2 linked regions of the Drosophila melanogaster genome follow. The gene in region 1 interacts genetically with each later gene. Each region holds a gene or a part of one and is shown in the gene's direction. Other genes may lie near its edges. The genes, in order: ytr and Tsp68C.

Evidence for each region.
Region 2: of ytr (region 1) and Tsp68C, changing one suppresses a phenotype caused by changing the other (phenotypic suppression), as found in Drosophila melanogaster (one study listed by BioGRID).

The regions. Positions count from the first base shown.
Region 1 is NT_033778.4:23,846,356-23,853,002, reverse strand, and holds ytr (yantar), read left to right. Parts: upstream 1-1,522; 5' UTR 1,523-1,627; exon of another isoform or gene 1,628-1,714; 5' UTR 1,715-1,742; exon of another isoform or gene 1,743-2,135; 5' UTR 2,136-2,190; coding exon 2,191-2,432; exon of another isoform or gene 2,433-2,673; intron 2,674-2,701; exon of another isoform or gene 2,702-2,930; coding exon of another isoform or gene 2,931-3,668; exon of another isoform or gene 3,669-3,757; intron 3,758-4,203; coding exon 4,204-4,546; 3' UTR 4,547-5,842; downstream 5,843-6,647. Other genes in the region: gbb (glass bottom boat), read right to left, coding at 1-1,248; eIF6 (eukaryotic translation initiation factor 6), read left to right, coding at 2,931-3,668; CG5554 (uncharacterized protein), read right to left, coding at 6,414-6,647.
Region 2 is NT_037436.4:13,841,463-13,845,925, forward strand, and holds Tsp68C (tetraspanin 68C), read left to right. Parts: upstream 1-2,193; 5' UTR 2,194-2,398; coding exon 2,399-2,455; intron 2,456-2,552; coding exon 2,553-3,584; 3' UTR 3,585-3,854; downstream 3,855-4,463. Other genes in the region: CG8757 (uncharacterized protein), read right to left, coding at 1-68, 161-736; CG8750 (uncharacterized protein), read right to left, coding at 1,198-1,428.

The DNA.
Region 1 (6,647 bases):
GGGCACCTTCTTCGGCTCCAGCAGGTGGACCAGGGTCTGGACGATCGCATGGTTCGTGGCGTTCATGTGCGCATTGAGCGGGAAATTGCACTCGCCGCTGCAGTAGAAGGCGCCATAGCCCTCTGGTGCGATGATCCAGTCATGCCAGCCCAGATCCTTGAAGTCTATGTACAGGGTCTGCATCTGGCAGCTGCGCGTGCTCTCCATCGGTTCCAGCAGCGGCACGTTGTTGGGCGACACCGACTTCTTGCGCTTGCGTGGATGGCTGGCGCTTCGCTTGCTCCTGTGGTGGCTGCTGTGGGCCGTCGCCTTGATCAGCTCCGGTCCGCGGAAGAAGCCGATCATGAAGGGCTGGAACTCGTCGTCCACCTTGCGGTGGATCAGTCCAATGTCGTCCAGCTTCACCTCGCGGTCGGGTCGGTTGACAGCGTGTGCTCCAATGTAGATGCCATGATTGTCCTTCGACTTGACCAGCCACTCGTGCAGGCCCTCGGTCACGTTGAGCTCCAACCAGCCCACGTAGTCCCCGGTGGTGTTCACCGAGGACAGCGGCTCCATGGTGTGCTGGCCCAGCGTGCCGGTGCCAATGGCGTATACCGTGATGGTGAACTCCCTGTTGGCGGTCAGCCACTTGCCCTCGTTGGCGTTCTGATAGATGCGCAGCTCGGCCATCACCAGGTAGTTGTCGTTGGGCACGTTGGAGACGTCGAACCACAGGCGACGGCCGTGCTCGTGACGCAGTTCGTCCACATTGTGGTGGCGCTTGTTCAGGAAGGTCATGATGATGTCGCTCTCGTCGATGGCCCGCTTGTCCAGGTCGGTGATGAAGTTCTTCTGCTGCTCGCCCTCATCCTCCTCGAGGTCGGCGCTCCTCCTGGACCGATGGCCGCGTTCGTAGTCGTCGTCCTCATCCTGATCGCTGAGACCCTCCTCCGCCGTGATGCGGTGGTAGACGTCCAGCAGGAACTTGGGAGCCGACTTCCTCAGCGACAACTGGTGGCTGCTCAGGTGCGTCGGCCGTTCGGCGATGCCCAGGAACTCGAGGATCTCGTACGAGACGTCCAGCTTGTCGTCCTCGCTCAGCACTCTGTGCATGATCGTCTGGTCCTTGCCGTTGTCTATGTAAATCCCCGACTGGGTGGCCTCAACGGCCGGCGGCGTGGTCGCCACGAACATGAGCAGAACCATTCCGAGTCCCAGGGAGGCGAGCACTGCAACGGCCTCCGAGGTGTTTCGCAGTCCCGACATTATTTCGTGTTTTGGACGGATCGGTTGCGATCGCTGTTTTTCTATATCTACGGCGCTATCCACTTGCGATAGCTTCAGATGTACAGTGGCATTTAGTTGTTTATTTCGAGAGTTCCAGCGAACCGCGGGTTCTGAAAATTCTGACGCACTTACGGATTGTTGTGTGTATCTTAATCTTCAAGATGCATTTTCTTTCTATTTCGCGGGAGTTGGCAGTCCCGCGACTTGGAAAATGAATCGGTCTTGAAGATCGAACTAGAAGATCCAACATAGTAGTTCATTTCAGCTGCGATCGTGAGCAAATATGTGGTTTAATAGCTTCAAAAAAAAAAAGAAGAAACTGTGTAAATGTAGAAAATATAACGTTTATATTGGCAAAGTTCGTAATATTTTGATATTTTAAACTATTTATGGAAGTGGTATTGACGAAAGATTTGTAATTATGAATTTGTTAAATTTATCATAGTCCGGGCATAATTTGAAATATAATATAGGTAATGCTATTAAAAAATATTAATTAATATATATACATAGTTCATATTCAAAAGGAAACAGATCGATTTAAACATTCGGTATGCGATATACATAGGATACATTTTTATCGAAGATAAAATCGACCATCAATCGATATCCGATAGGTGGCCATGTTTTGCCCTTGCATCGCATCCCTCGCATCATCATCCGCATTCTGCATTCCTCATTCCGTTTCGGCGTCGCGGCGAGATAACGCGCGTTGTTTATTTGGTTTTAGTTTTAAGTTAGCGCGTTTTTACCCACCGCCGGTGTCGCCCAAATAATGCTAGACACAGCCTAGTGCAACGGTAAGCGGGATGCGTGCGGTGCAATTGGAGTACATGGAGTCTAACATCCGCTCAAATCCACTGCAGGCAAACCATCATCAATCACTCAAACCGCCACACAAGCAGAGACCGAAACGGAGCCATGGGCCGCAGCCGAAGTCCCGCCTCGCCGGCGCACAGGAGACGCGAGAAGGAGCGATCCGAGCGGAAGAAGCGCAGGGAGCGCCGTTCCCGGGAGCGGGAGGCCATCGGAGTAGCGCCAGCCGGAGGATCCGGATCTGGAGGCGCCGGTCGCCGCGACCGGGAACGGGATCGCGACCGCAGTCGCAGCCGAGATCGGGAGCGGGAACGGGAGCGCGACCGTGCGCGGAGTCGGCGATCTAGGTGAATAAGAAAGTGTAGTGTACCAAATGCCAACCACGATAAGTATAAAACTAGTCACTAAAATCGGGGATGTGGGTCACAGTTCAGGGGCGTGCTGGATAACCGTGAAATGGGGTTTAAATAGCAACCAATATTTATAAGTTTAGGATAAGCTTAGGGAGTGTTTGTGTAGATTTAGGAACACATTCCAACACAGGGGACAATTGACCCCTCAAACCCCCGAAATCGCCGTTCAGAACTTGTTTATTTACCCACGAGTATCGATAGACCCACACTTCGATAGGCAGCCAATCGATGGCTATGCAGCTCTGGCGTCCCAACATCAAAAAAAAATTACCACGTGAAGCGAAATTGTGCGAATTTCATCACGACATTTAAATTGATTTCCGGACATATAAACAGAATCCAGAACTCATCCGGCAGCAGGCTCAGTCAGGCCAGTAAATCCGAAAAGAGAGTAACCAGCAGGAAAAGAGGATCCACGTAAATACAGAGAAAATGGCTCTACGCGTCCAATTCGAGAACAACGACGACATCGGCGTCTTCACTAAACTAACCAACACATACTGCCTGGTGGCCATCGGTGGATCCGAGACCTTCTACAGCGCCTTCGAGGCGGAGCTGGGCGACACCATCCCGGTGGTGCATGCGAATGTGGGCGGCTGCCGGATCATCGGCCGCCTCACCGTGGGCAACCGCAACGGCCTGCTGGTGCCCAACTCCACCACCGACGAGGAGCTGCAACACCTGCGTAACAGCCTGCCAGACGCCGTGAAGATTTATCGTGTGGAGGAGCGCCTGTCCGCGCTGGGCAACGTTATCGCCTGCAATGATTATGTGGCCCTGGTGCACCCGGATCTGGACAAGGAGACCGAGGAGATCATCGCGGACGTGCTCAAAGTAGAGGTCTTCCGCCAGACCATTGCCGACAACTCACTGGTGGGCTCTTACGCCGTGCTGAGCAACCAGGGCGGCATGGTGCATCCCAAGACGAGCATTCAGGACCAGGACGAACTGTCGTCCCTGCTGCAGGTTCCCCTCGTGGCCGGAACAGTGAACCGGGGCAGCGAAGTACTCGCCGCCGGCATGGTCGTCAACGACTGGCTCTCCTTCGTGGGCATGAACACCACGGCCACAGAGATCTCCGTGATCGAGAGCGTCTTCAAGCTTAACCAGGCACAGCCCGCCACAGTGACGACCAAGCTGCGTGCGGCCCTCATCGAGGACATGTCCTAAGCGAAACTTTCCCCACTTTCTACTTGATATAAGGATTATCTGTTATCTTCTACATTTCATTTAAGAAATACAAAACACGAAACTAAAACAAAGTCTGGGAGCTGCAAGCATCAATTAGCTATTTTCCAATGGAAGTTTTTGAGATATAAGCTAGAGGAATAGAGGAATATTGTCTGTTAGGTATATAAATGGATTCAGAATGGATTTTAGAGGGATCTTGAGCTTGATTTTAAATCTTAGAATGAAATTCTCTAGCATATGCATATACAAGCCGGTTATTTTGGGTCTTCAGATGATTGCCAAAATCGAGACGTAAATATGGTCTTTAATGAAGCCAACCGACCGGTTGAGAAGTGTCGCATTTCGCGTAATTAAAACTTCATATTGCACAATCGGGTGCACAACGCCCAAGGTCGCCCCAGTTATTTCCCAGGCTCGTTGCAATTCGAATGCAATCAACTGGTCGGTCCTGTCACTCAAACGAAATCTATAGAACACTCACCACTCACTATGCACACACATTCATAATTTGCAGATCGCGGTCGAGGGTCGCCGGAGGAGGAGGAGGAGGAGGCGGCGGCGGAAGCAGCGGCGGCAACAGCAGCTCCGGACCATCGACGTCGCGAAGGACGACGAGGAACAATGCGGCGGCCACAGCTGCCGACCGGCCCAAGATCAACGAGGCGGACCTGGAGGGTAAATCGCCGGAAGAGGTCGAGATGCTGAAGACAATGGGATTCTGCACGTTCGACACCACCAAGAACAGGAAGGTCGAGGGCAACGATGTCGGAGAAGTGCATGTAATCCTCAAGCGAAAGTACCGCCAGTACATGAATCGCAAGGGTGGCTTCAACCGGCCGCTCGATTTCGTGGCATAGCAGTGCCTAGCAGCAGCCGTTGGCGTTGTCCTTGCAATTCCAATTGCCATTGGCCATCGCCATCGCCATCGCAGCAGCCACATCCTTTTCCGTTGCCCAACTAGTTTGCTACGCTTTTTTACTTGTCCGTGCCCAATGGGCAATGGGCGGCGGACGAAGACCTGCAATTTTATGCAATAGACCGGTTTACGAAATTCAGCCAGCTTTTGGCCCGTCAAAATTTCCACGCATCCAGCTAGTTCAGCACGAGGACAGCCTCGCCACACACATACCTCAATTAGTTATTTAGTAGTCTAAGCCTGAAGTGCGCCTTTGTTATAGAGTTGGCCGCCAGGTTAATTTTACAACAAAAGTCTGGGGCTGAAAGCCAGCCATCCCAGCCAGACGTTCTCGGATGGCGAATCTGCTTTCAGCTGCAGTCGACGACGCACGACGATTGCTTTTTGAATATTTCAAAGTAATTAACAATTGTTTTTGTTGACATCTCGCCATTTTGTACGCATACGAACGAATTAACTGAAGCCAGCCTGAGAAACCCAAATTCACAACAGAAAAATTTCCAAACTCACACACAGACAATTACTTAAAGTATTTGAAAACTTACCACAGCCCGAAACGCACTCTTCACATACCCATACCCTTATCCTTACCCATACCCATACCCATCCTCATCCGCATCCAGATCCCCATCCCGATCCCAACCGCAATCGAAAAGACCTCCCAACAAACTTCCTCCATACGCTGCAATAGTACAAGTTTTACAACCAAACAATATATATCAAATATATATTTAAATATAGAAATTATATATACACACACACCACAAGTACCTTATCCCCGCAACCCCCGAAATGAATCCAACAATAGCCATAGCAATTTGTTGAAAGAACTATTATTTGTTGAACAATCAAAATGTTGTAATTAATCCAGTTAATTCCGATTTCAATCACAAGTGCCAACAGATCAGGCAAGCAACGCTGAAGATGAATCACATTTGATACAGATTACAGATATGTATTTGTATAATCATTCTTTTGTACTCTTTTTATAAGATAGTAGGCATGAATTTTTGTACGCCTCAACGAGCTAACTATTTTAAGCAACAGTTTCAGTTACCCATTTCTTTGCGTTTGGAAAACAGCCACATGTATTGGAAAATTTGAACCATTTTGGACCAGCACCACTCACACACATCTTATAACAATTATTTGTAGTTTTACACACACGAAATTGCAGGGATTTTGTCTTATTTCATATTCTCCTACAATAAACTGATAATAAATTTGTAAAACCATTAATGTTCATGTTGTTTATGTGGTGTTAACTGTGAATGAAACTAATGGATTTTCCATTTCAAATATACATACGTGCATATGTGAAATTTCTTTGGGATCCAAATTATTTAGAAGCGCAAAGTAAACAAAGCCAGTTTAAATTGTATGTTTTTTTTTATTATTTTGTAATACGAAAATTTAATACAATTTGCGATTGAAGTACAATTACAAATGAAATGCTTAAGAGAAATGAATTGTGTGGAAACCAAGTTGAACACAAAATACAAAAATGCTTGGCAAAAGGTAAAAATATACGACTAAAGTTACATTTAGTTATTGTTACGCTTGCTATCGCTTAATGGATTGCAATTTTGCTTTACATAATTATGAAATACATGGGGCGCCGTTTTCTGGCTAGGATTAGAAGGAGGGAAAACAATCGGTTTTGTGCGCGAAGGCAGAGCAGACGGATTATGTCCGCTCGAATGATGCTTGGGTAAGAGGTTGTGTTCCTCTCGATTCAGTGTGTTAGTCTTTTTGTTGCCGCTTCTGATGATCGCTAAGGCTGAAGATCCGCAGGGACCCCGCTGCACCTAATCGCCTTTGCGAGGCTTGCGCTTGCGCACCTGTTCCGTCTTCTCGGGCGCAGCATCGCCGGCCTGCTTGGGCTCCGGCTTCTCTTCCTTTTCCGGCTCGCTGTCGGCCTCCTTCTCTTTAGTGGCCAGATCGCCCACCTGCTCCTCGCTGTCCTCTTCCTCTTCGTCGTCGTCCTCCTGTTCTTCCTCGTCGCTATCGCGTTGCTCGTCATCGTTCTCCTCGGCGTCGCC
Region 2 (4,463 bases), on another chromosome or scaffold:
TGTTGTTTGATAATACCCTGTATCTGCTCCGGCAAGATGACCGTATCAACTATGCCGGGACTGACTGTCTGCAAAAGAAATTTAAAAAGGACACCGATACTCAAAGCACAAAGAAGCAATTGAAATAAGTCATACTCGAAGGACTCCTAAATATACTAACCGAAACCCTCACGGCAGTTTTGTGCCTCTGGAACTCCTGGCGGTAGATCTCGTTCATGGCGCGAAGGGCAAACTTGGTGGCCGGATAAATGTTTAGCGAGGGAAGCTGGGGTCCCAGGTTGGGTACCTGGTAGCCCGCCACGCTGTTCACGATGACCACGTGGCCCTCGGTTCCTCGCCTTTTCATCGAACGGAAGGACTCGCGGACACAGTAAACGGTGCCCATGATGTTTGTTTCTATGGTGGATCGCATAGCAGGACCATCATCCCGCTCGCTGAGTTCTCCGGTACCAATGATCCCAGCATTGCTCACCAACACGTCCACTCCACCCAATTGCCGGCAGGTCCAGTCGAAGGCCTTCAAAACCTGATCCTCCTGCGTAATGTCGCACTTGATTGCGTGAAGCCGAGACTGCTGTTCGAGACTCAGACCACTGCGAAGCTTCTCAACTCGCTCATGCCGCCTGGCCAGACCCACCACTATCATTCCTGCTCCGATCAAGGCACGGGTGCATGCTGCACCAATTCCGGCACTCGCTCCGCTCACCACGGCCACTTTATTGCACCAACGCTCCATGTTACCGTTCCACAGACGTCTAAACACCGAATGACTGGCCATTTGGCGTTCGCATAAGACCAAAACCACAATGAAGCCATAAAAATCAACGCACTACTTATTAATTGCACTCGCCCACTTAAGTAGGTCACTCACCCCACGTTCAAACGACTGGTAACCTCTGAAAACTAGTCAATTTGGCTATAGGAGTCAAGTTTACATTTTATTTAATTATCATTAAAAATGAGTGTTATGCAGGTGTGGAATATTTTGGATTGGATTTAGAAGTGATTAGAAAGCTCGGCTTACAAAAGTTGACGCAAATGAACATAATTTGTACTATAATAACAACCAAAATTTGTATATCATTGAAGCAATATTTTATAATATTATGCTTTAACTATTTGTTTATTTGGTTAAGTTAAGTTACTTCGATTTGTTCAATATTTATTTTTGCATCATCCCCAAGTTTACGTTTTATCTCAGACTTGGCCTGAAGACTTCCACTCTTGGACACGTCTCTGCAGAGTCTGCAAGCGACTGCCCAGATCTTCGGATATTTTTGGGTTGTTCTTGGCCAAGAAGTTCTGCTGCTGCATGCTGGCCACGTTCAAAGGACCTAGTATCCTTCCAGTCGTTGGTCGCTCTATCTTGATGACTCGAGGCTGTTGCTCTGACACAGGCATCTTGCGCCGATTTGGAATCTTAAGCATAATTTGGTTCGCATTCACTCGCTCCAAATGGCTCTATCAGTTCGAATGATTTTAAATATACACAAATTATTTTAAACAAGATTTTAATTTGCCAAGGCCTAGTCTGTGGTGAAGTGTTAGGTCAAGCCTACTAGGATTGATTTACAACTAGGATTTACAGCTAAAGTAATATGTTATATTTTTAAAATCAATATACCGTAAGGTATACCCTTACATACTAGAAATGAAACTAGCATTGGCCAGTCGAAGTTTATATACCCTTTCAATAATAAGCTATAGCTTAAAAAAAAAAAAGTGGGAAGTAAAACGATGAGTAACGGGTTTAGCAAACATATCTTAACCACAATACATTGTGATCCATAAAAAGAACTTTACATAAATTCCGGTATCTAGTAATAATTAAAGTTCAACTCGTGTAATTGTTTGTTGCTTGTCGGCTTTTGTTGGAAAACGGTTCCAAATGGTTGCACACGGAGATGGTGGCAGTGATCAAATAAGAGCAACGAGCATTGCGCCCCATGCATGGGTTTCTCTTTTCAGTCTCCAGTTTAAAATTTTTGGTGGATGGACAGCGTTTTCGGTTTTGTTTTGCTAAGCTAAGCGCGACGCTTGAAAAGTTTCAATGAGAGTTACCCATCATGGGGTTTGTAGAGAGTTACGAGCGAATTCTCTGTGGTCTCTTACTTTCGCTTCTCTGAACTTGCCACAGAATGTTGCATCTCCGCACTGTTTAGTTTAAATTGTACTGTCCATGGCGTCGCATTGAATATATCCGAATTGAAATACACGGGTGCTGATTTGAAGTTTCGGATTTGGAGTATCTACACATCTACACTGTTGAGCATGCAGTACATCCAGATATACATCATCGCCATCACTGATCTTTGTACATGTCGCAATAATTGCATTTCGTCATAAAACGTTTGGTTCTAATTAAGTTTGAAAGACCCACACCCGCATTGATGTAAACATGGCCTGCTGTTTTAATTACAAATTTGTGCTCAATCTATGTAACTTTTTGTTTTTGGTGAGTGACTAACTAAAGTGAAAGTTGTATAGCTTCCTGCTTTAGCAAGTTTAGTAGTTCCTATATGCTATATTTATTGACTAATTGCATTTTTCAGATATGTGGCTTGCTGCTGGTAGTATCAGGTCTATATATCTTCTCCGATAACAAACGCATTCTGCTCTCTAGACTTTTGGCTGCATCCAGCGATCGGCTGAGCTCACTTCCGCAGCCGCTGCTTTTTTATATAGCACTGGGTGTGGCGATTGCGGGATTTGTGGCTACTCTGGCTGCCGTTGTGGGTTTCTGGGCCAGTTGCCTTCACACCTATTGCTTTCTAACCATATACTTCCTGAGCGTTGTGGTGCTCCTGCTGACCGAATCGGTTTTGTGCCTGGCCATCACATTGTGGCCACATTGCCTGGGAATCAGCTTAGATGAGACTCAGATGGTGCGATCGTTGCAGAGCAACTATGGAGTTCCGGGGCAGGAGCAGTTTACCAATGCCTTGGATTTGGCACAGGTCCGGTTCGGATGTTGTGGGATGAGAAGTTCCTTGGACTACGACACATCATTGTGGAGATTACAGGGCTATGGACAAAGGAATTGGCCGGTGCCGCTAAGTTGCTGTTTTCTTAAGAATGCCGGACATTCCATGGCATATCTGGACCCCAAGCCGGCCAATGAATCGATGTGTCAGTCTCTGGAACGATTGTCCTACGAAAGGGAACGCCACACGGAGTCATGTCTGCCCCATCTGGACAACTGGTATCGCGAACAGTACAGCATCTTTCTTGGCGCCAGTCTAATATTGGCCATGATTGAATTTTGTGTCCTACTCGCCATTATCATGAGCTGCACCGGACTTGCTTCGCAACGGGCTAGGCTTAAGAAACCTGTTCAGGAAATGCGGACTCAAAAAGTAAAATCGCGACAAACCCTAATCGAGAATATATACGAACCTGATGTTGAACTGAGAGAAAATTCCAATCACAGTGGAGACGGAATATATCTGGGACCCGCTAGCAGACATGTCAGCAGTGAGGATTTCAAGGAGTTGTATATAAAACCGAGAGACTTGTACAAACAACATAATTTAAGAACAAGCCCAGCCAACCGACCAACACAAATGAGGAATTATTTGGTCTAATTGAAAACCTTATCCTGCTCACAAATGGACACGTATAGCTTAAGCTAATATAAAGCTAAGCCAAGAGAGGAAAGTATGAAATTTAAAAGTGTTATCTATATATATCACAGCAGTATGTATTTGCTCAGTAGTATAATTATAAGTATATTTAGTAATATTATTTATTTAAGTGTGGAATATATTAAATATATTTTCTAATGTATTCAGTGTTTTTCAACCATAAATCTAATTTCGATGGCTTACTTTGAAGTAAATCTGAAGATTTTTTCCACTTTAAACGTTTTCATTGTTTTAAATACGTGCATTAATTAAATTTGGTACCCAAAAGTTATTTCTGTAGGCAGGTTCAATACACTTTACTAATTTTGACACCAATGCGCCCTCTAGCGAGCTACGAGACAAGCTGCTGCTCGAACGCATGAACCGTAAACTGCTTGCATTCAGCATTTGCACTGCTTGAACCGATAACTTTTAACGGTCACAATGTAGTACGTTGAATATTTGAAATTAGTTCACCCTTGGCCAACATTAAAGTGATTATATTCCACCACCCAAGTTCAATGCCATTGGAGAAGTTTCTGCGTAGGACGCTTTACATCCAGCAGCTCTTCGTTGACCATATAACTTTTGAATGGCGACATATCAGCAGAGGGGGCTACCCCAAGTCAGAAAATTCTTACACCCATCGTGGACTCTAGTAAAATTATGACATAGGTCCCGGAAATGCCGCTATCAGGAAGGCATTAGCATCAGCTTAAACTTGGCACAGATTTGTTACATTCGCTTTGCTAATTTAAGAACGGCGATGCCGATAAGCTGATGATGGTGCTTTTTTTGCGGATCGTGGATAAATAGTGGGCTTGAGCCTAACAATTCCGA